Elephas maximus indicus: one gene and its partners. The protein of the gene in region 1 interacts with the protein of each later gene in a biochemical or structural test. Links are inferred from orthologs where the notes say so. Each region holds a gene or a part of one and is shown in the gene's direction. Other genes may lie near its edges.

What was found. The genes of interacting proteins can lie anywhere in the genome.
Region 2: the proteins of SNTB1 (region 1) and FRMPD4 interact in a test that uses a peptide from one of them, tested with the Homo sapiens proteins (2 studies listed by IntAct, with this or other methods). The link is inferred for Elephas maximus indicus from reciprocal best matches to the Homo sapiens genes SNTB1 and FRMPD4.
Region 3: the proteins of SNTB1 (region 1) and MAPK12 interact in a test that uses a peptide from one of them, tested with the Homo sapiens proteins (2 studies listed by IntAct, with this or other methods). The link is inferred for Elephas maximus indicus from reciprocal best matches to the Homo sapiens genes SNTB1 and MAPK12.

The regions. Positions count from the first base shown.
Region 1 is NC_064833.1:21,924,236-21,931,800, forward strand, and holds the start of SNTB1 (beta-1-syntrophin), read left to right. Parts: upstream 1-4,553; 5' UTR 4,554-4,718; intron 4,719-4,835; 5' UTR 4,836-4,891; intron 4,892-5,294; exon of another isoform or gene 5,295-5,419; 5' UTR 5,420-5,640; coding exon 5,641-6,214; intron 6,215-7,565. UniProt on the Homo sapiens protein: Adapter protein that binds to and probably organizes the subcellular localization of a variety of membrane proteins. May link various receptors to the actin cytoskeleton and the dystrophin glycoprotein complex.
Region 2 is NC_064846.1:167,817,109-167,824,823, reverse strand, and holds the start of FRMPD4 (FERM and PDZ domain-containing protein 4), read left to right. Parts: upstream 1-4,713; 5' UTR 4,714-5,373; coding exon 5,374-5,414; intron 5,415-7,715. UniProt on the Homo sapiens protein: Positive regulator of dendritic spine morphogenesis and density. Required for the maintenance of excitatory synaptic transmission. Binds phosphatidylinositol 4,5-bisphosphate.
Region 3 is NC_064822.1:196,610,088-196,617,946, reverse strand, and holds the start of MAPK12 (mitogen-activated protein kinase 12), read left to right. Parts: upstream 1-4,857; 5' UTR 4,858-5,050; coding exon 5,051-5,175; intron 5,176-5,250; coding exon 5,251-5,380; intron 5,381-7,631; coding exon 7,632-7,690; intron 7,691-7,859. Other genes in the region: MAPK11 (mitogen-activated protein kinase 11), read left to right, coding at 1-94, 789-860, 1,106-1,185, 1,515-1,593, 1,678-1,937. UniProt on the Homo sapiens protein: Serine/threonine kinase which acts as an essential component of the MAP kinase signal transduction pathway.

The DNA.
Region 1 (7,565 bases):
TGATTTAATATATACCATGAGATATAAAAAGACTAGCATATGGTTTGTTTCAATAACAGGCTGTTATAGACTAGATGTGAAAGAAATGGAATTCAAAAAGAGAAGGCAGAGGATAAACATCTAACTACTTGGGGCCACCATGAGTTGGAATCGACCCAATGGCAACCGTCAACAACAACAACTTGACTATTCTGCCTTGGCTTAGCCCTGCTCCCGCAAAAGTCCCCACTACAAAATTCTAAACACAGTGAGCCATGAAATAAATCCTCTCACCTGAATGACTGGCTGGTAGATAGTCTAGGCAATAGTCTTTCTAGTTTACCAAGGGCCCACCTGGGGAGTGGCAATGCAGAGTGCTTCCCAACCAATTGATGATGGACCTGTTGGCTGTCTGGGGCACATCAGAGAAGAAAACATCTGCTCAGCCTTCCATTCATGCATTGTTCCTCAGCCTTAGAACTTCACCTCTAAAATAAGAATCATTACCTCAGTATTATGATTTAGAATCTGGAGGGTGGTGATTTCCATATGCCTTTCACACTCAGCACACTCTCTGTGAACGTATCTGTCTTCCTGTCTTAATCGTGTTTGCATTCCTGGGTGCACCTGCTTCCAGCACCTACCTTAGTCCTTTACGAGAGTAACCTGTTGCCGTCAAGTCGGTTCCAACTCATAGCAACCCTATGGGACAGAGTAGAGCTGCCGCACAGACTGCGGCATCTTTCCCCTGAGGAGCAGCTCGTGGGTTTAAACTGCCAAGTTTTTAATTAGCAGCTGAGCGATTAACCACTGTGCCACCAGGGCTCCTGGTAAAGGTTTAGTCAACAGGTATTGACACAGGCAGGCCTTGCCTTAGGAGTTTTGCTTTCCAAGCATCCCTCCTGTTTTTTTCTCATGCTGTTCTCTAATTTACACCCAGCTATCCAAAAAAAAAAAAAAAGTACTCCATTTCCTCTTCTGCACTATTCACCTCGTATCCACTCTTCATACCATAGATTTGAAAAATCTCCCCTAAAGATGTTCGACCAACTCTTCATTCAAAAGTGCCAAAAGTACAATGATCATATTTTGCAAATCTAAGTACTGGAGGACATGTTCAAACCAGTAGAAGTTTACTTAAGGGCTAAGAGAAAGCAATATTTGAAGTCGGGACTGTCCCTGAAAATCCAGTGTGGTTGCTGAAGCTTGAAGGGAACAAGCAGATGGCCTGTGTGGTTATCCTACAAGGCGTTATCTATGTGATCTGGTCCAGCCCATCTCCTGATCTCCTCTCCTGCCTTCATCCTCCTCCCATGGGCTGTCCTAGCCAGTCTGACCTCCTTTTGGTCCTTTAAACCAGACAAGGGTGGTTCTGTCTCAGCTGCTTTGCATTGGGTCTTCCTTCTCCCTGGAAGCCTCTTCTCTGGATTTCCACCAGACTTCCTTCAGCTTGTGATTCATGTCTCAGTCCAATGGCACTTTCTCATAAAGGCTTTCCTGACAGCCATAGCCCCCAGGAGCCCTTGCCCCCAGTCACTCTCGATCCTGTTACTCTGTTTTAGTTTCTTCATGGCATTTACTTCTACACGGAAGTATTTTATGTATGCATCTACAGTCTGTTCCACTTCCACTCTACCACCCACCGCAACGTGAGCTTCGGGGAGCAGGTTGTTGCCCATTTGTCTGCTGCCAAATCCCAGCACCTAAAACAGTACCTGGGACATGTAGGTGCACAACAGGACTGTGGAATAAATGGGTGTAGACTGCTCCTTCTGCCACATGCTGCTGTTCTCTCATGCACCCTTGGCCCCCGTGAAGCTGAGGATTGTGTGACCTGCTCCTCAAGTCTAAGTCCACCCAAAACCTGTGAGAAAATGTCTGTCCCACAGAAAAAGGTATAGCAGGATCCTGGTTCTGGCTGGATGGAAAGGGAAGTCAAAAGCTTAGGACAGAAGAAGGACACAGAATAGGAAACAGGCCTAAGCAAAAACAAACCTGGTTTAAAAAAGGGGGACAAAGGTGATTCCAGGTATATTTTTTGGAATAGTGAAGTTGGAGTGGTAGTCAGGGTAACCCAGACCTAGGCTTAGCTTTGCCACAAACATACCATGTGGCCTTGAGTTGGTATTGCCCTCTCTCATCATATATGCACACCTTATAAAATGAGGGAGTTGAGGTCTCTTAAGTTCTTTACAGTGACCATTTTTTAAAAGGGAAGAGCATTGTTAGCTGCTGTTGAATCACCCTGACTCATGGTGACCCCTTGAACAATGGAATAAAACACTGCCCGGTCCTGCATCATCCCATTGATTGTTTGGGAATCGGACTATTGTGGACCATGAGGTTTTCATTGGCTGATTTTTTGGAAGTAGATCACCAAGCCTTTCTTCCTAGTCTGTCTCAGTTGAGAAACTCTGCTGACACCTGTTCAGCATCATAGCAACTTGCAAGCCTTCACTAACAGACAGGTGGTGGCTGTGCGTGAGGGGCGTGGGCTGGGAATTAAACCCAGGTCTCCTGCATGGATGGTGAGGATTCTACCACTGAACCACTAAGGCCTCACAAGAGAGTATAATCTGTCCTAAGTGTAAGTATCATGGGGCCACAGTGAAGCAGCCCCCCAAGAATTAAGAAATGAGGTAAATACTGTTTCCCTTTGAGAGTCGGTGTTAATAATCAGGGTCCAGATACGCAGAGTGGTCTGCAGGACAAGACATGGCCTCTAAGGCCAGAAGGACAGCAGTCGCCAGTATCAATGCATCAGCGTGTCTAAAAAAAAAAAAAGTGTCAATAACGTGTCCTCTAATATTGGAAAGAAGAGGTCATGGAAACTGCTGGCTCTACTCTTCCACATACTGCCTGGAGAAGGGGCTTTCACCCGTGGTGCTTTGTCCCCAGTGGAAAGGCTGGCCTTGTGTACAGATGGACATAAAGGCTGTAGCTGACATGTTCTGAGTATTTTCAAGAAACAGCGTAGGACAATGGTGAAGAGTCCAGACTCTGGAGTCAGACTGACTGGCTTTAAACCTTGGCTTGCACTTGCTACACGACAGGGACAAGTTGTTAAACCTCTCCATATCTTCACTGGCAAAATGGGAGTGATGAAGGTAATAAGTACCTCCTGGGGTTGCTGGGAGGATTAAGTAAGTTCATATAACTATACGTATTAAGTTAATATAACTACACATATTAAGTTAATATAACTATAATACTAAGTAAGTTAAAAAAAAAAAAAAAAAGTAAGTTAGTACTTATTAACTTATTTAATCCTCCCTGGAACTCCAGGAGGTACTTACTATCTTCAGCACCTTGAACAATGGCAAAGCCATCTCTGGCTAAGATGCATGTCTCAGGCCTAATTTATATTAAATAACAGACTCCCCTCATTCTGGTGCTACTTTCAATAAGCAACCTACCTCTTCCCATGCAGGTTTCCTTCCACAGGGGAAAAAAATGTGTTAATCATAGAGATGCTGAGGATTTCCCAACCCAGAGCCTGTAATTTCTCATGACAAATCAATAAATTATCTCTGCTTGTGCCTAGGCCTCCCACATTGCTTGTCCACAGGGAGCAGATGCAGACACGACGTTGACGGCAGCTTTCTGGTCCAGGGTCGGCTTTCTTTGGATTTCTAAATAAACACACTGGCATTCTAGTGCCTACTCCCATCTTCCCTTGCTTTGGTTAGAAGACAAGCGCTCAGGCTTTAATTTTCCCTGAACAGTGATGTGTATGAGTCCGAAGCTTCTACGGCAAACCCTAGCTGACTTTCCCCGGACAGTGGTACTGCCTACATCAGCTCCCTGCTGATCCTGCACACGGAGGGCTAAAGGGTCCTTGTGGCTGCTGTCCCTGCTGTAGGGGGCCTTTGCACGAAAGAATAAAGAGCCTTGGAAAACCAGCTGGTTAAAAAACTATAGAAAAGGTGGGAGCTCCAAGCAGAAGTAGCCATCCAAAGGCTCCTCCTTGTCAGTCTGCAGTGCTTCTCCCAGCTCAAAAAAAAAAAAGGTTCATTTTCTTCTGTGACCCTGCCTGCAACTCCATGCTTTAGAGATTCGTCTCAGTTTTAAGCATCCTTGATTAAAAGAGTAACTCTTGGAAGGGTCCGAGAACTTCCAATGATGCTGCTACACGTCAATGTGAACCTGTTCTATGAGGCTTCTTCCTCCTGACACCTTGCTTCACCGGGTTTAACCCTGAGGAACTCACCGAATTGCGAGTTATGTTTTGTTATTGCAGAGAGGGGAGAGAAATGTAGGAAGGGGAGATAAATAAGAAGTGTGGAACACTTTGACAGGCCCACGAGGCTTGCTTTGGGTGGGTGGAGAACCAGAGAGGTTCAAGGTCCTGTGGCCCCCCTGCCAGGAGGACATTGAGAGGTTGGCTATAACATGGGTTATGTTGGCTTTTCTGGATTGGCCTGGAAAGGTAACCAATAATTATAATATTGTTACTCTAGAAAGACAATGGTTTAGCTCCAAGCAAGTAACCTGTAAAGGAACTTTTGAGATACAACCCACTGCAACTGAGTTCTTAAACTGGGAGACTTCCTGTACTGGATCTTGGGAAGAAAGTGAAAGCTCCAGAAGGCATTTGGTGTGGCCCTGGGGGGAAAACACAGATCAGAAGCGCAGACCATTTAATGTGTTAGAGATGGACGAGCATTTCTCCTTGGAGTCTGGGGCAGGCAGTGACCTGCTGGAGCCCAGGCCAGCAGAGACTCCTCTCCAGAGGCCGGGTAAGAAAGATATCCCACATCTAAGGAGAGGAGGCGTAGGACGCTCGATTCTACTGACGTTTCACTCTGGGTTCTTGGAATAGCCTTCTCTCCTTACATTTTTTTCCTTACTCTCAGGGAGCCCAGGGCCTCGGTTTGCCTTCCTCCTGACTCCTTGAGGAGAGACGAGCCAGGTAAGAACTTAGCAGAGGAGGCAAGCCTCGGTTTGAGGAAGTCAGAGAGAGGAGACCGGTTCAGGTACACTTGGGGGAAGGAAAAAAAAACAAAAAACAAAACTAGGGGACAATTCCACATTGGTGTGAAAGGGAAGCGGGATCAGGAGGATGGAGTGAAAGTGCTCAGGCAAGACACACAGATCCGGCAAAGCTGCGAGGTGGGGGCCTGAGGAGAAGGGAGAGTTGAGGACGGAGGGCTGGGACCGGGCAGAGAGAAGTGGGACTGGGAAGGCGCGCGGGAAGCGGTCCTCGCCGTCACGCGGTCCGAAGGGGAGGCGGACCGAGTCGGAGCCGGCGGGCGACCGCTGAGCTGCGGCGCTGGAACAGGTGAGCGGCTGCCTGGCAGTCCCCGCCCTTCCGCGAGCGCGCCTCCTCCTGCCACTCTCCCCGCGCGCGCTTCACTGTGCCGCGGCGCCCCTGGGTTTGGGGTTTTGCAATTGAGAGCGGTTTTTTTCCCCCCGTCTCTTTCTCGCCTTCTTCGTTTAGAGGCTCCACCCCGCCCAGGATCAGGCGAGGGGAGTGAGCCCGGCTCCAGCTGCCAACTCGCGGAGCGCGTCTCCGAGCTCCCGGAGCGGAGTCCCGCGTCCCGCCTCCTGACCGCGGGCGCGCCCTCTGCGCTCCCCCAGGCCCAGAGTCCAGCCCCCGCCCCACCCTTCCCCACTTTTCCCCGCTTTGCAATCACATGGCATTTTAAGAATGCCGGAAAGATGGCGGTAGCGGCGGCGGCGGCGGCGGCGGTGACGACCGGGCCGGCGGGCGCGGGAAGCGGCCGGGCGCAGCGGAGCGGACTGCTGGAAGTTTTGGTGCGGGATCGCTGGCACAAAGTTCTGGTGAACTTGAGTGAGGACGCCCTGGTTCTGAGCTGCGAGGAGGGCGCGGCGGCATACAACGGCCCCGGGACCGCCACCAATGGCTCGTTCTGCAGGGGCGCCGGGCCCCCGGGCGCGGGCGGCGCGCAACCCCCGGACTCGCCAGCGGGGGTCCGCACTGCCTTCACCGACCTGCCCGAGCAGGTGCCCGAGGCTATATCGAACCAGAAGCGCGGCGTGAAGGTGCTGAAGCAAGAGTTGGGCGGACTGGGCATCAGCATCAAGGGGGGCAAGGAGAATAAGATGCCCATCCTCATCAGCAAGATCTTCAAGGGGCTGGCGGCGGACCAGACACAAGCTCTGTACGTGGGCGACGCCATCCTGTCGGTAAACGGAGCTGACCTGCGGGACGCCACCCACGACGAGGCGGTGCAGGCGCTGAAGCGCGCGGGCAAAGAGGTGTTGCTGGAAGGTAAGGGGTTAACACGGCGTGGGATGCGCCAGGCGCGCCCACACCCACCGGCACACTCACACCACCCACAGGCTCTCACATCCCGGGAGCATGGGGAGGACAGGTGGCCAGGAGTTTCGACAACTTTTACCCACCTGGGGGTAACTTCTCCAGCGCCTAGAGTGGTGACAGGCTTTGACCCAGTGGGTGTGTGTGAAAAGGCAAGGCTAGCAGGGTGTACTGAGCCCCGACTGCGTGTCACGCACGGGCTGAGTGCTTAGTGAACGCTGTCTCATTCTACCTGGGAATAATCCGAGTGTAGTGGAGAGGCTGGGAACTGGAACGGGAAGCGAAGGGTAGACTCAGACACATTCACCCATCCACGTAGCAAAGTGGGTCCAACTTTTCCGCTTTAACGAAAATTTCCCTCTTAGAAGCCTGGGTAACCCAACTGAAAGAGGTTGAATCATAAAGAGGCCAGAGAGAGGTGGCAACGTTAGAATGCTAAAATTCCAATCACTCTTCTCCCTGTCTCTCCTGCAAATTGGACACTGGGGTTATGCCTAGGGAGTTGTGCCAAGGGCTGAGGAATACGGCGCAGTTTTATGCACCAGTTCACTTGTCCTGCAGGGTGCCGGGCCGGTCAGTCTGGATTCCAGGTTGCTCTGGCTGGAGAAGTGGTTTTTTTTTCTGCCTGCATTTTCCCCGGCTTGTTTTGGAGTGGTGTGGAAACAACATTGCATTTCTAAATAGCTTCCCCGACTTGTTAGGCGCCTTAGAAACTTCTGTCATGAGATCAGAGGCTCCCAGTCCCCTAAGGATTGAATATGAATAGGATAGGAATAACAGTTTAATGTTTGTGGATATGTGGAAGAGAAGGGCAATAGGGTAGTAAACCCATAATTCATTTTCCTTCCCTTTGCAGATACATTGCTCATTTGGAATCTGGCTCTCTGCTCCTCGGCTCTTTGTACATACCTCCTCTGTCAGCACTAACCTTGTATTCTTTTAGTTCCTTACCCAGCCACCCCCTAATTTGAGATTGAGTTGTCTGGGGGTCTTTTATCTGTTCTGGGCCTCCCTTGAGCTTACGTGCTCACCAGCATGCGTGCTGAGTGAGTGAATAAATGAATGCCTAGCCACGGAAATAGAACATGTCAGCAGCGACTTTGTAAACTGGTGGTTGATTGAAGTCCTGAACCAAGGACATAAATCAATTTCCTGCTCACCTCGTGGCAGTGCTGGTGTGTGAAACTGAGAAAGTTCAAAGTAGGGAAACCAACTTTGCTACGAGTGACAGCCAGTGCAACTCCCTGGTACATGGTGGCCCACCTCCAGGCCTAGAATACAGAGCTTTTTTGTTTGCTTGTTT
Region 2 (7,715 bases), on another chromosome or scaffold:
AAATTTTCTCAGGGCAACAGATTCAGAGCTTCCTCCAGCTTCAATAGGTCCTGTAAGTCTGGATTCTATAAGAAATTTGAAATTCTGTTCCATCTTTTTCCTCTTTTTGATCAGGACTCGTCTATTGTATTGAGTCCTTGATCAAAACATTCAGTAATGGTAGCCAGACACCATCCAGTTCTGGTGTCCTGGCAAAGGAAGTAATACTTCATGATATGATATTTTATATTTTTATTGTCTGTCTCCGTATTAGAATGTAAGTTCTATGAAAGCAGAAATATGCCTTGTTCTCTGGTATATTTCCTTAGGACAGTGCCTGGTACAAAGGAAAAACTCCATGAATATTTATTAAATGAATGGATACTATGCTTTTATTTACTCACTTCTGTTTTCAGGGCTATAACGAGATGGTTGAGATGCTACAGTCCAAATGGAAAAGGCATAGAGTTTTCTCTATTGTAACGTGCAGCAAAAGGACCCTTAGCTGCCAACCCGTATGAAACATCTGGGCCAATAGTAGATTCCCAACATCAACTTTAGGTAAGAACTTAACGAAGAAGAAACTCCTTCTTCTTTGTCCTGAGAATTCTCCCAGAGCATAAAAAATTTTGTCCTGAGAATTCTCCCAGAGCATAAAAAATAACACTGCTTAGGGTTTCGATGATTGTGGCAAAAATATCCACATCTGAACAATCCAAGCAAATATTGTCATCTTCAAAGCAGTGATTTTAGAGGCTGCAACTTTTGGTGACAGTGCTGCCAAGACTCAAAACAGGTGTGGATGTCTTTCTGGAGCTAATATCCATGTGCCAACTCTGAACTGGTGTCCACATTCAAGCGCTCATTCGGTAAGGTAGGGATGTATTATCATTTCCATTTTAAAGGCAGGGAAACTGAGTCTCAGAGAAGTTAAGTGACTTACTCTGGATCCGTTGACTTTGAGTCTCTTATTCATGAGTAAATTCAACAGTCTTTGAAAGTGTGTTTGGTTTTCAGAAATGGCCAAATGTCTCTTGGATACAAGTAAGGCAAATTAAGTAGATTTGCAAGGAGGGTAATAGAGGTCCTGATGAGTAAAACCTCTACAAAGCATGTCGTAGTTGTTGTTAGCCGCCATTGAGTCGGACCCTGACTCATGGCAACCCCATGTACAACAGGATTGGACCACTGTGATCCACAGGGTTTTTTCATTGGCTGGTTTTCGAAAATAGATCTTCAGGCCTTTTTTCCGTGTTCATCTTAGTCTGGAAGCTCCGCTGAAACCTGTTCGGCATCACAGCAACATGGAAGCTTCTCGCCTGACAGGTGGTGGCTGTCCTTGCAGTTCATTGGCTAGAAATTGAACCTGGGTCTCATGCATGAAAGGTGAAAATTTTATCACTGAGCCACCACTTTCCTCCTACAAAATATCGAAGGGGCCTTAGAGGTTATCCAGACTAAAAAAAAAAAACTTCAGAAAATCTGCTCAAGGTGCCACTCATTGGTTTTTTGTTTTGTTTTAGGGAGATTCATTTCATGTTAGACATAGAAACATATTCCAACCTCTGCCGCACACACCTGGTACAGAGAAGGTCAGAACTGATAGAAAACTCAGACTGAACGCACTGCTGTCCAGTTGATGCCAACTCATAGCAACCCCATAGGACAAAGTAGAACTGCCTCATAGGGTTTCCAAGGCTATAAATCTTGACGGAAGTAGACTGCCACATCTTTCTCCCCTGAGCAGCTAGTGGCTTTGAACTACCGACCTTTTGGTTAGCAGCTGTGTGCTTTAACCACGGCACCACCAGGGCTCCTTAGAGCTGATGGAACAGCTACTCAAATCTCTTTCAGAGGGCTTAATGGTGTTTCAGAGCAGCAGAACTTCCAGTTTTACATCTCTGAGAAACAAAGGAGGCGGGGCAGAACGTCTTTGCTTTAGAAGAAAAGCTATTGATCACCAGAAACATACCAGAACATTAATATATCAGAAGAGTGTAAGGACTGGAGAAGCCAGTCGTTTCCCTCGCTGGCTGTAACGCTGTGGAGAGTGGGCATCTGCACTGTGAATAATTGTACTGTACAAATTGGCGGAGGGGAGAAGCCCAACAGCAAGCTATTCCAGGTCGACCAGATGTCTTGAAGGGTGTCTGTCTCCCTACAAGTCAACACTATGTCTATTTCTTGTCATTTTCACGACCAGGTGATTAGCTGTTTGGTATGGAATTATGTTTTTAAGAAGAAAGCCCTACTGTTCTGTTCTCAAAAGGAAAAACTTTTCAAAATACAGTTTCTGAAGGCATTGTTTCATCCCCCTTTCCTGATCCAAAACTGGTCTCCTAGTGCCTGTGGCCGCTCTTTTGGGAAGGGGTAGAGAGAGTGAAGGAAAAAAAGAACTGGAGAATGTGGGAGTGTCCTCATTGCCACATTAGCAATTCAAAGGACATGCAAACAGTGAAGGCTGCTGAGGAAGGAAGAGTGTGTGTGTTTGGGGGTGGGGGGCGTGGGCAAAGATAAGCCCTGAGGTCAGAGACAGAGCAGCACCGATGGGATGCCAGACCGATTGGATTTGTCTGAGAATCTGATGAACATAAAATTTGTCCATTCAACAAATATTTATTAAGGTCTTTCTACATCCAAGGAAAGAAACCCTGGTGGCACAGTGCTTAAGTGATCGGCTACTAACCAAGAGATCGGTGGTTTGAACTCGCCCAGCAGCTCCGTGGGAGAAAAACCTGGCCATCTGCTCCTGTAAAGATTACAGCCAAGAAAACCCTGTGGGGCAGTTCCACTCTGTCATATGGGGTCTCTGTGAGTCCAAACGGCACTTAACAACAACATATCCAAGGAACTGTCCTTGACATTTGAGACCCATCAGTGAAATCCATCCTTGCCCTTGTGGAGCTTTCATTCCAGTGCAGGAATCAGAGAAGAAACAATAAACATAAAAATAAATTATCTAGTGTGTTGGTGGGTGATAAGTGCTATAAAAAAAAAAAAAAGGAAACAGGAAAAAATGGAGCAGTTCATGGGGACTCAGAGGCCAGGGGATGCAGGCCTGGAAGTTTCAGATAGGCTTTTCAGAGGTGCTTTTTGGAGGCGACATTTGTGGAAAGGCCTGATGGGGTGAAGGAGCTGGCCATGCAAATATCTGAAGGAAGAGTATTCCAGGCAGAGGGAACAGCCATTGCAAAGAGCCTAACGTGGCGGGATACCTGCCCAGTTTGAAAAGCAGCAAGGAAGCCAGTGTTGCTGGAGCAGGATGGGAGGGGAGAGAAGAAGGGAGGTCAGATAGGGTCAGAGAGATCAAGGGCCAGGGTGACTAAGACCTTGTTGGTTATCGTAGGGGTGCAACTGTAGCTCTCAGGAGAATGGACAGCTTTTGCAGGGCTTGGATCCAGCAAGTAACATTATCCGACCCACGTTTAAAAAACATTTCTTTGACTAGTACATTGAAAATAGATTGTGGCATAAAAATAAAAGATTTCTCTTTTTTCAACATGTGCCTTACTTATATGACAGGGTTGCTATGAGACTCAATTGCAGAACTGTTTTAAAAATGTTCAAGCACTGTGCAGACCCAAACTATAATTATTATTTTACACAAACAATAGGGGGTTCACAAGCCAAGGTTCCCCTGGCCTCCTCTGAGCCATGAAATTATAGTTTATCTACAAGAAGCTCAAGGGACATTGATTCCATTTACTTCAAGAAAAAAAAAAAAGGTAAGCATTGTACCTGTGAGCTTTAAATCATTAGGTTTTGCAGATTGCTAGTTATTTTATGTTTAATTTTTGAAAGAATTGCTTTTTTTTTTTTTAACTTGGAAGTACCTGGCTTGAATACTGAAGACTTTCAATCCAGCCTCAGACCAGAAGAGGAGCAGAAGTCTGAGAACTTTAAACCCATTCTGTTTTCCCTGATCCCCTCCAGAGCTAGCTGCTGTGGCTAGCTCCTCCAGTATTTCGGGGGTGGCAGCGTTTCTTTGCGGTGGCCCTGCTGGCAGATGAACGCTGCTGGGTGGGAGACACATTTTGGGAGACCAGCTGACCTTCCTTCAGAGAAGCTTGGGGGAAATTCTGCAAGGATTTTGGAGAAGAGGTCCTGAGACTCCAAGAGAAAGAAGAGAGAGGGGCTTCCTGGGAGACAGAACTGAGTTACTGAAGGGGGAGGCGGGGTAGGTGTGCTAAATGGCTGCAAGTTGGAGTTTACTCTGCTTAAGGTGAGTGTTTACGTTTTCTCTGCTTTCGTTTTTTTCAGGCGAGGGTTGGTTTTGTATTTTGTTTGTTTCCTTCTTCACCCACCGCTCAATCTGAAAAAGCAGCTAGGTCTGCAGGCCAGACCCCATTCTCATCCCTTCTCTATAAGTCTGAGCCCCCCATTCAAACGAGCCCCCCCCGCCCCCTCCACCGCGGGTTGCTGGGACCCCCTGCTCGCCTGTCCCCCTCTAGCTGTTATCGCTTCTTCCCCCGCCCCCAACACACACACAAGGCTCTGGTTCTAATTGTTTTGATTTCGCCGACGCCCCCCTGGCGCTGATTCCTAAGACACTCCTTCCCAGCCGGCCGGGCTGGCACGTCTTGCCCCAGCAGGTCGAGGAAGGCAGTGAGAACTCTGCGCTTTCCAAATCGCGCCCACCGCGCTGGGTATCTCCCTCCCCTTTCCTTGGACCAGCGATCTTGCCTGCACCCTCCCGGATCGTCCGCCTGGGCTACGGGTGGTTGTGGAACCCACTGAGGCTTTGGGCAAACTGCGGTGGCCCGGCCCTCGTCGGGCTTGGGGAGGGCGGGGTGGCGTTTGCGGGCCCTCAGTGTGCCAGAGACTGTTGGAGCCGATCTTGCCGCTCGAGAGGCGCACACAGAGGGTGACAGGAGCGTGTGCCCCCTCCCCGGGCTGTGGGGGTGGGGACAGGAACGGGGACTCGGGCAGGAAGGCGGCGGGGAGGCAACTGCAGTGCTGCGAGGGGTGCGTGAGCCGCGCCAGTAGCCCGTCGCCTCCCAGTGCATCTGCGCTCCCCGGAGCGCGGGGCACGGGTCGCGGCTGGAGCAGGAGGGACCCCCGCGCCGCCTCGCCTCCCGCCGCCAGGGCGCACGGGGCGGGGCGCACGATCGGCCGCCCCCGCCCGCGCCCAGCCCCTCTCCAGTGACTTTTCCCGGCGCGGCGCCGCTCCACGGTCCTGCTCGGAATGCACACGCAGCTCCCGGCCGGAGGGGGGTAGCAGCCGCCGCCTCCAGGTGCCGGCTCAACCGGGCCGCCGCCGCCACCCGCCGTCGCCGCCACTCGAGCCCCGGGCGCGCCGAGGTCCCGGTCATGGGGCTGCCGCTGCGGCCGCTGCGGTCTTGAGGAGGGGCAACGGAAGCAGCGCTGCGCTTTCGGGAGTCCCCGGCTGCCCGCATGGATGTCTTCAGCTTTGTGAAGATTGCAAAGCTCTCGAGGTAGGATCCGCGCTGGTTCGCTTGCACCCGGGGCCGCCACGACCACGGGCAACTTGGCGCTTGATTTTGCGGGAGGTTTGGGGAACAGCAAAAGCTGGGGACAACAGTGGGGCTTCAGATCGGACTGGAACGGCGTGGCCAGGGGCTATAGCGTTCAATCTATTTCTCACTGGTTCCCCGGGCATAGACTGCACACGCAGAGACCCACGCGCGCTCACGCACACACGGATCTTCACGACAGTTTGTTTTCCCTTAGGAAAAGCCCCAGTGGTACTTGGGGTCACATGTGCAATTCAGGACCAAGAAAAGATGGTTGTAGTTGCTGCTGCTGCTGCTTCTAGGACAAGCCCAGAGTGCTTGTAGCTTGGGTACCTGCCTTCCAAGTAGCAGCAACATAAAGTGTCCCTGTCGCCCCTTACCCCCAAATTAGACGTCCACACCCGAAAAAGTCCACTTGTAGGTTGACTCAGGTTGAGTGTTCCCACCAGTGACCTAGATGATGAAGTCATGGAGATAGAAGAGAAAGACCTTAAGCCTTTCCCTGGGTAACTATATATTTCTCAGCTTTGAAAGATTTAGAAATTTGTTTCCAAGTGGCTGTGTTGTGGAAACCAAAGAAAAATCCTGGATTCAGGCAGATTTCCTGGGCAGGGCTTGACAGGAGGAGGTACATTCCCACTCTTGGACCGCCTAGCTACTATTATCTGGTCAGAGCATTCCTCCTCAGTCTTCTGCCCTGCTTAGGTTTCTAAGTTGGGCTTCCAAAGTCTCCACTGAGCCCAAGAAGGAAGGTCTGCCGCTTGCAGTGTGGCCTCAACACGAGAAGAGCCCAGTAAGAGAGGTCTCCGAAAACCCTGCCCAACTTTCTCTGCCCAAGTCCCTGGAAGGCCTGGCCTTCTGCCCCTGAGCTCTTTATAGCAGTTACCATCACCACCTTAGGAGGTAGACAGTAGGGTTTTACCAGGATGCAGCTTAAAGACCTGCTAGAAAGACAGAATAATTCTAGGTTTGTCTTCATTCTTTAGTGTTGGGTGGGCCGTGTTGATTGCATCAGGCAGGAACAGGCAGCCTCAAATACCCCGAGTCAGAAACGTATGTTGACTTTGCTTTGCCAAATTACATTTGGGCCATTTCAGAAACATTAAGCTTGGATGTTGTCAGTAGGACATGTCCCTCTCCAGCATCTACAGGTCTTTAGTTATTCTTCCTGCTCGTCTCCACCTTCCCTCTCCACTCACACTGGTCAGTCTTAATATCACCAGCTGATTCCTCTAGGGAAAGGGCCCCACGGTCACTTACCCTGGGTAGGTAGACTTGGGTAAATACATCTGCCTAGAGCCCCCAGGCTCCCACACATCAGAAGACTCATGAGTTAAGCAGTGGGTGATTGTGGTATAGCATTGTTTGGTTTCCCACCGATACCATAGACAGCCATGGCGTCACACCACTTCCTGCGTGCTTCTGCCCATGGCTGGTTTATAAACAGCTGTTAAATCACACATGGATGCGAAATAACTGCGGGTAAGTTTAGAAAGTGCATGGAGCCCTCTGTGTGATGGACAGAGAGATTGGTGAAGGGAAAAGGGACATTCAACCAATAGTATAAAGTAACCAAAATAGTTTGCAGTGCCCTCGGATACTCAAAACAGCAAGCTGAACAAAACATCTAGAGCCTAGGTTTTGTCCTTAAACTTTGGAGCTTGGGAGAGGACAGTGCTGGTGTCAGAGAAAAGAGGTTTTCGACTCAAAGTTTCCTAAATTCTAGGATGCCTTCATGGTGTTAACAGATCTGAGCATTTGCAAAACCCAAGGCGGGTTTGTGAGGGATTAGCATAAAAAAAAAACTCTAGGGAGAGAGTGTGAATTTCAATTTCTATCTTTACTGTCATGCCATAGAGAGTTGATTCTAAAGAGAAGGTGCACATGTCCTGAGCTTATGTGCCCATTAACAAATCTTCCATCCCTAGGAGTTCTTCCTTTTCTTCTGTGTGAGCTCAAAGATGGTCCCCAAGCTGAGCTAGAAACACCTCGAGAGGGCCATCAGCTTGCAGAAACACGTTTGCAGCTGCCTATTTCTGCCCTGCAAGCATTAGAGGGTTGTATGTGTGTGTGTTTGAAACAGTGTTGCAGAAATCAAGTTCTTTTCACAAAGGTGGAGCAGAAAAGTGCTTACATTGCAGGATTTTCCTGATTTCAGAATGGATAATCTTCCTAAGGGATTTAGCTTTGATCAGCGTGGTTACTTGAGTGCTTAAAATTCTCTTGCTTTAGAGGGGAATACGCAGAGTTACCTCAGGCCTG
Region 3 (7,859 bases), on another chromosome or scaffold:
CGCCAGGCCGATGAGGAGATGACCGGCTATGTGGCCACGCGCTGGTACCGGGCACCTGAGATCATGCTCAACTGGATGCACTATAACCAGACAGGTGCCTGTCAGGGCCAGGTGGGAAGGCAGAGCTCACGGCAGGGCTGAGAGGTGAAGGGAGAGCAGGGGAGAGACGGGCTATGGACCCGCATCAGACACAGGCCTTCAGAGGGGCTAGACAGGTGCCTGTCAGGGCCAGGTGGGGAGGCAGAGCTCACGGCAGGGCTGAGGGGCGAAGGGAGAGCAAGGGGAGAGAGGGGCTATGGACCAGCATCAGACACAGGCCTTCAGAAGGGCCAGACAGGTGCCTGTCAGGGCCAGGTGGGGAGGCAGAGCTCACGGCAGGGCTGAGGGGCGAAGGGAGAGCAAGGGGAGAGAGGGGCTATGGACCAGCATCAGACACAGGCCTTCAGAGGGGCCAGACAGGTGCCTGTCAGGGCCAGGTGGGAAGGCAGAGCTCACGGCAGGGCTGAAGGGCAAAGGGAGAGCAGAGGAAGTGGTGCCCAGCCTTGGAGGAGAGACGGGCCGTGGACCAGTATCAGACACAGACCTTCAGAGAGCCCTGAGCCAGGGGTCAGGGGCGTTCCCTGGCTTCTGCAGCCAGCGCTAACCCCTCCCCCTGCCTACGGCTGAGAATAGAGGGAGAAGAGTCTGACTGCGTTTAGGCCTGGGGGTCTCCTGGGCTGCTGAGGTCCAGGAGCTCCCCAAGGAGGGACTTGGGGTGGGCAGACTGATGGAGGCCTCCCCCTCAACAGTGGACATCTGGTCTGTGGGCTGCATCATGGCAGAGCTGCTCCAGGGAAAGGCCCTCTTTCCAGGGAATGATTGTATCCTTGTCCTGGTTGGGGAGCAAAGTTGATTTGGGGTCCCCACCTGCCTGGAGGCTGGGGACAGGGAGGGAGGTGGACTCTGGCCCTCCCTGGTTGGTCTTGCCCACACTGCCCCCACTTTGCACCATGGGCTCACTGTGTCCAACTGTAGGAGAACAGGTTCTGGGCAGTGTCCCCAGGCCTGGGTCTGGGGGCTTAGGAAGGTCCAGGCCTGGCCGGTGGTCATTTCCTGAGCGAGGCAGACATTGACCAGCTGAAGCGAATCATGGAGGTGGTGGGCACGCCCAGCCCTGAGGTTCTGGCAAAGATATCCTCTGAGCACGTGAGCCTGGCCCCTCTGCTGACTGAGCTTAGGGCATCTGGGGAGGGGGACACAGAGTGGGAAACAGGCTGGGCTCTATATGGGGAGCACGGGCCACTGAAAGGTAGAGTCCGACCCCTTCGGGGATGAATGGGTGCGAGTGGGGAAGACAGTCCTGCACAAGGTTCTGAAGGCACGGAGGCAGGCGAGGAGGTGCCACCAGATATGCTGGGGAGGCCTCAGGTCTCCAAATGCCCTTGCCTAGGCCTTTGCTCTGCGGCCCCTGCCCCGCTTGAGGCCAAGAGGATAGGGGGTGGTCCACTCCCTTAGGCCTGCCTGTGTGCCCCCAGGCCCGGACATACATCCAGTCCCTGCCCCCCATGCCCCAGAAGGATCTCCGGAGCATCTTCCAAGGAGCCAACCCTCTGGGTGAGGACAGGATCAGGGTGGGGCTGGGTTCCACTCCTGGCAGGAGGCGGAGCTGACATCCTCCCTAACTCTGGTGCTCTGCAGCTGTGGATCTCCTGGGAAGAATGCTGGTCCTGGATAGCGACCAGCGGGTCAGTGCAGCCGAAGCCCTGGCCCATGCCTACTTCAGCCAGTACCATGACCCTGATGACGAGCCTGAAGCCGAGCCCTACGACGAAAGTGTGGAGGCAAAGGAACGCACGGTGGAGGAGTGGAAGGGTGGGCGCTCGGGATCTTGGGGTAGAGGCCGGGCGGTGCCCATTTTTGCAGGGAGCACCCCAGCTTTTCTCCAGGGCGGTCCATAAGGAGGGACAGCACAGCCCCTACCCCAGATGGGACAGGCAGAGATGGGTGGGGGTGTTGAGCAGAGGCATGGGGGCGGCACAGGCTCTGGAGAGAGGTGCAGTGTGGAGCCTGCTCTCAGAGAGCATCAGTGCCCAGGCCTGTTGGGTGGGGCTGGCTGGGTGGCAGGTGCCAGATGCACAGGAGGTGGGGTGGGCTGGGCCAGGGGTGGCACAGTATCACCGGGTGCTCCTTCCTCTCTACCTCCGCCAGAGCTCACCTACCAAGAAGTCCTCAGCTTCCAGCCCCCAGAGCCAGTACAGCCGCCTGACAGCCTGGAAATTGAGCAGTGAGCTGCTGCTGGCCACGCTCAAGCTCATGGAAGGGGCTTGAGCCTGCCCCTCCTCAGAACACTGGCTTCCTGTGAGGGGTGCCTCCCAACACCCCTAGGGCCCGGCAACCCTGACTCCTAGCCTGGGACTCCTCAGCCTGCACGCTGCACCTAGAGGGAGGCTGTACACATATGTCGGAACATAGGAAAATGTGTGCACACATGCGTGCCATGTCCCTGGGCCTATGGTGGTGACCTCCTTCCGGCCATCTGGGGGCTTCACAGTGGGGGACTTGAATGCCCAAGAGGCTGCCTGGGGAGTGTGCCTGTCTCTTCCTCTCCTCTGTGTCCCAGAGAGCTGTACCTGGGGATGGGGTTGGGGCAGGGGCCCCTGACACTTAAAGGGACGGGTCTCATTGGTCAGAGCTGCTCAGCCAGGAAGTAGAGGCCAAGAGCTGGGGTATGGCCAGTGCCCCACCAGGCTCGAAGTGTCCTCCCTGGGGGGCAGAAGAGCTGCCTTGTGCCTGCATGAGGGCCTGTGCAGTGTGGGCACACGTGCGTGAATGTGTTCCTTGTGAGGGAGCGTGTGCAGGCCTGTGCAAGCATGCACTGGCATGTGTGAACCTGCAGGCTCCCAAGGCATCAGCCAGGACCAGTGGGAGGCCAAAGTGAGGGTGGCTGGACTATTGCCCACCTCTCCCCTGACAGTTCCTGATGCCATGAGGGGCCCCGACACCCTACTGTGCCCCATGTAAGGGGCTCAGACAGCTGAGGGACACCCATTGTGCTTTCCCTGCCCAAGGGCAGCTATGGCAGGTTTCTGAGGCAAGAGAGCACAATGCCAGCTGGGGACCAGGGGTGGGGAAGAGGCAAGTGTCCAGCCTCAAGGCCTGACACAACGGGCGGTGCACACATGGGTGTGAACTTGGATACAGATGCTCTGGTCCCTGAACCTTGGCCCCATTCTGCCCCCTCTCCTGCATGGCCCTGCAGCCCAGGGCTGAGATTTTGGGCTCTGGGGCCACCCCCATCCCTTCCTCCTCCCAGCATGGAGCTGACCCCAAGAGCCTCTGGGAAAAGGACCCTGCTTGGAGGCTGTGGATGGTGTGATTCCTCCCTGGTGGGGCCTCTGCATCCAGGGGACTGGTGGTGACTTCCTACCTCACGGGCCCTGGAGAGGTCTGGATGTGAAGTGCCTGCTCACAGGGTGCTCAATAAAGGGGCTCCCTCTTGCTCCGCTGGTGTTTGAGGCTCTAGGCCCTGTTTCCTGGGTCCCCACCACCCAGAGGGGGTGGGGCACAGGATTCCTTTCCTGCCTGGCTAGTGACAGCGCCACCTGCAGTGTGGACAGTCTGCAAGAGAAAGGCGGCCCCTTTCAACCCACACCAGGCCTGCCCTTACCACTCACTGCAGCTCACATGTAGGGGTCGGGGTCTGGGCTCTGTCAGGGGTCCCCAGGGGTCAGGGACAGCCTACCTTACCCTGGGCCTCAAGTGGTGGAGGACCATGTGGTCAGTGAACCTGCACAGCCTCAGGTCCCAGGATGACAGCCAAGTCCAGTGTGTGTTGGGAGGAACAGACACAGAACTGGGACACTGCCTCACCTCTGGGAGGATGGCGGCACCCAGAGGGTACTTTCTAGAGGAGGTGAGGGTGTGGTGGCCATGCTGCCTTCACAGGAGCAGCCCTGGCACATGAAGACTGTGTCTCTGGGCTGGGCCGGGCCTCAGGCTGCCTGAGCTCACCGCCTACTCGTGAACGCCCGGATCACCAGGCGTAAAGCTGCTTGGCCAGGCTTGAGGCTTGAGGCTCTGAGCTGCTGATTCATGGCGGGCAGGCGGGGCACTGAGGGCGGGGTAGTGGGCATCAGGATCCTGTTACCTGTCCTCAAGTCAGCTCCTGGGGGGACCCCACGCTCCCTCTTCAGACCCTGGGGTTACTGGACTGGGGGAGAATGTCAGGGGTGGGGGGGTCCAGTCAAAGATGGGGCCAGACCATGCCTGACTATACCCATGCTGAGCAAAGGCAGGGAGCAAGTGCTCCCCAAGTCAGGTGGGGGGGCTGGGAGCTGAAGGTGTCTGTGGGGCCTACAAGGTGGGCCTGGAGGTCTGGAGAGCGCGGGCGGGCTGGGGAAGAGGTGTGGGGGGATCTCAGGGAGACCTAGAGACAGTGACCACAGGGATAGGTGTTGGGGTTGCAGCCTGTAAAGTTTTGTCGACAAAAGTGAGCCCTTCCCCTAAGGATGAACCAGCCCCAGGGGTGGGGGCATCCTGGGTGGTGGAGTAGGGAGTTGACATCAGGAATGCAGAGCACAAGAGGCCGTGGGGGATGGGGGAGAGGGCTTGGCGTCAGGCAGGCTGGTGGACAGTGACCACCGGAGGTGGGGGTAGAGGTTAGGGGCCCAGGCCGGCCAGACAGGGCCCAGGGGGCTGTGTATAGAGGAGTAAGGAGCACACTGGAACCCCGCGGGCCCCAGAACCCGGGCTGAGCGCCACGCCGGGCCCAGCTCCCCCTGTCCCCCACCCCGCAGTCCCTGGCCCCTCCCCGCGGCCGCCTCAGGTTTCCGGAGGGCCCAGGCGGGGCCGTCACGTGCGCTGGGCCCGTGGGCCGGTTGGTCCGCGGGTGAGGGACAGGCAGTGCGCCGTTGCAGCCGGGTCGGGGTCGGGGTCAGCGGCTTGGGGGTGTCCGGAGGGCAGCGACCCCAAGGGAAGAGCCGGAGTGCCCCGCGGACCGACGCGCCAAGGAACCCCGCCGATCGGCCCGAGCCCCGGCCGGCGCCCGCGGCGGGGTGGGCGCGGGACAGCCATGAGCTCCCCGCCACCCGCCCGCAAGGGCTTTTACCGTCAGGAGGTGACCAAGACGGCGTGGGAGGTGCGCGCCGTGTACCGGGACCTGCAGCCCGTGGGCTCGGGCGCCTATGGCGCCGTGTGGTGAGCGTGGCCGGCGGGCTGGCACCGGGTGGCCGGAGGGGTGGCCTGGCCCGCACTGAGCGGCCTGCCTCGCAGCTCGGCCGTGGACAGCCGCACCGGCGCCAGGGTGGCCATCAAGAAACTGTACCGGCCCTTCCAGTCAGAGCTGTTCGCCAAGCGCGCCTACCGCGAGCTGCGCCTCCTGAAGCACATAAACCACGAGAATGTGAGTCGGGAGTCACCGCCCCCCCACCCCCACCCCCGTGCGGGAGTGGTGGAGGCAGGGAGTGGTGGAGGCAGGGCACGACGACAGCGCCCAGTCAGTGCCTGACGAGGGGCCGGGCAAGCGTGGGCAGTGGGGGCCTTGCACTCCTTGGCCACTGGACTGTCTTCCAGGGTCTAGGCCTCCTCCTGAGCTGGTCCCTGCAGAGAACTCAGCTCCTGGCCTCTCCTAGGGGCTGCCCGCATCTGGCTCCCAGGCCCTGGTCTGGGGCATTGTGTGGGTCTCACCCCAAACCCTGCCTCCAACCCAGGAGCCTCTGCTGAGAGGAGACACTGCAGGTGGGAGGAGCATTTTTCCTGGAAGGGGCACTTTTCCAGGGGGCACCCCTGATGGTTCCTCTTTAGGCTCCACTTAGCTCCCACCCCATCTCTTGAACCCGCTCTGCTCCTGGGCTCATCACCTCAGCCTCGGTGTCTTGGTAAGGTGAAGGGTTTAGGGAGCTGGTGGGGGAGAGCACCTGGCACCAGGCACAGTCCTGGCACAAAAAGGGCCATCCTTCCTGCCTTGGCCTTCGGAGGAGGAGCCAGGCCCTGCCAGGGAAAGACCTTCCGTTGTTTCTAAGCCTGTCCCTGGGACACCACAGGTGGCTGCCCTGTCTCTGAGGCTGGTGGCTAAGAGCCCTTCTCCCTGCCAGGGCTCTCTCCGCAGGCTGTGAGGTCACTCAGTGCTCCTGACTGATGCTCTGGACCCTCCCGCGTCCCCCAGCAGACTCTCCCCTGACTCCCAGACGCTGCCTGCTCTGCCCCATTGTCTCCCACCCTGGCCCTGGGCTCCCTGGCCCCTCAACTTCCAGTCACACTCCCCAGCCCAGGCTTCAGCCAGCTCCACCCAGCAGCCTCTCCCCCGTCACCACTTTCCACTCTGGGGCCTGTAGTTGTGTCACCTCATGGCCCTGACCCTGCTCCAGCACCCTTCTCGGGCGGTAGCCCCACCTTGCCAATAAGGATGCTGTCTGCTGTGCTGGCTGTCCCCACCATGCCATCAGGCCCATCCAGCTGCACCCCCACTTTCCCGTGAGGAAGCTTGGGCTCTGAGGTGTAGTGGTGTGTGAAAGAGCAACTATTGACCTGGAGGCCAGTCCCTTCAGGCCTCCCCATCCTAAAACCCCACGCCCTCCTGCCACCATCCACCCGAGACAGACACGGAAGTCCTCCACCAGGGGTCTGTTCCCTGTTCTCTTCTTGCTAAACACTGTCTGTCCAGGTGGTACCCTCAGGCCATCAGCTCTCAGTGCTGCACCTGCGGGCTCCATCTGCGCCCAGGCCTCTCTCTTGGGTCGCCCATGTGTCCGGTGTGGACCCATCTCTGATCAGGACCCTGCCCCTTCCCCTCTCCCATGCCCCTCATCAGCCTAGGTCACGCTTGCCCTCCCCCAACATCCAGGCACCCAGCTGGCATCTCCTCCCCCACCCTCATCCCACCTCTGGTGGTTGCAGGGGTCACCAACTGTCCTCCACCCTCCTGTCCACTCTTGCTTCACTCCAGTCTGTCCCCACACAGCGGGTGGAGAACTGTTTCACACCTTGCCCCCGTTTAAAACACTCCCTGGGCAGATTTTAGGATCAAAGCCAGGTCTTCACTTGGCATGCGAGGTCCTGCCTGACTTCTTTGGCCTGGGCCCTGGCCACTTGGCCTTCCTCCTTGTGTTCCTCAAAATCACGAAGCGCTCTTCCTTCCTCCTCGGGCCACACGCTCCAGGCCTCTGCCGGCTACCCCTGCTACTCCTCTACCTGCCCCTCCACCACTCAGGTTGGCTGTCCTCCCTGAGCCGGAGGCCTCCCTGAGCTGGGGCAGCAGCAGCCAGTTTACCTGTTGGCTGTCCATCTCCCTGACGGGCTCCGCAGGGCTAGGCCTGCTCTCAGATTGTTCACAGCAGTACCCACCTGGGTCTGGGGAGCACCTGCTGGACACTGCTGTTCCCTAAGTGGTCACCAGGCTGGAGCCCCTCAGATGGCTTGTAGCCATCCCAGACTTGGGGTGGCCCCTCCCTGGAGGATCCTGGCTGTCACCATCCAAAAATAGCCTGTATCTGTGGGCCTGGGTGCCAGGGCTGGGCCATGCTTTGAGGGGCAGAGCAGCCCTGTGGATGTGGGGGGAGGTGGACAGCTGTAGGGGGGTTCCTGCCCGGAGCCCAGGGCCAGCTTGGGGAGGTGCCATGATCCGACCCCACTGGCTCTCGGCCCTCTCCCCCCAGGTGATTGGGCTGCTTGACGTGTTTACTCCCGACGAGACCCTGGATGACTTCACAGACTTGTGAGTGGCCAGCTGGACGCTGGGGGTTGAAGGGCGCAGGGCAGCTCCTGGATTCTGGGTTAGCATGGGGACTTCTGCCTGCTTGCCTCTCTCTGCAACCCTGACAGGGGCCAGGGCACACACCACCCACCTTCGCTACCCTGCAGTCCTTTCCTCCAGCCCCCTGCCC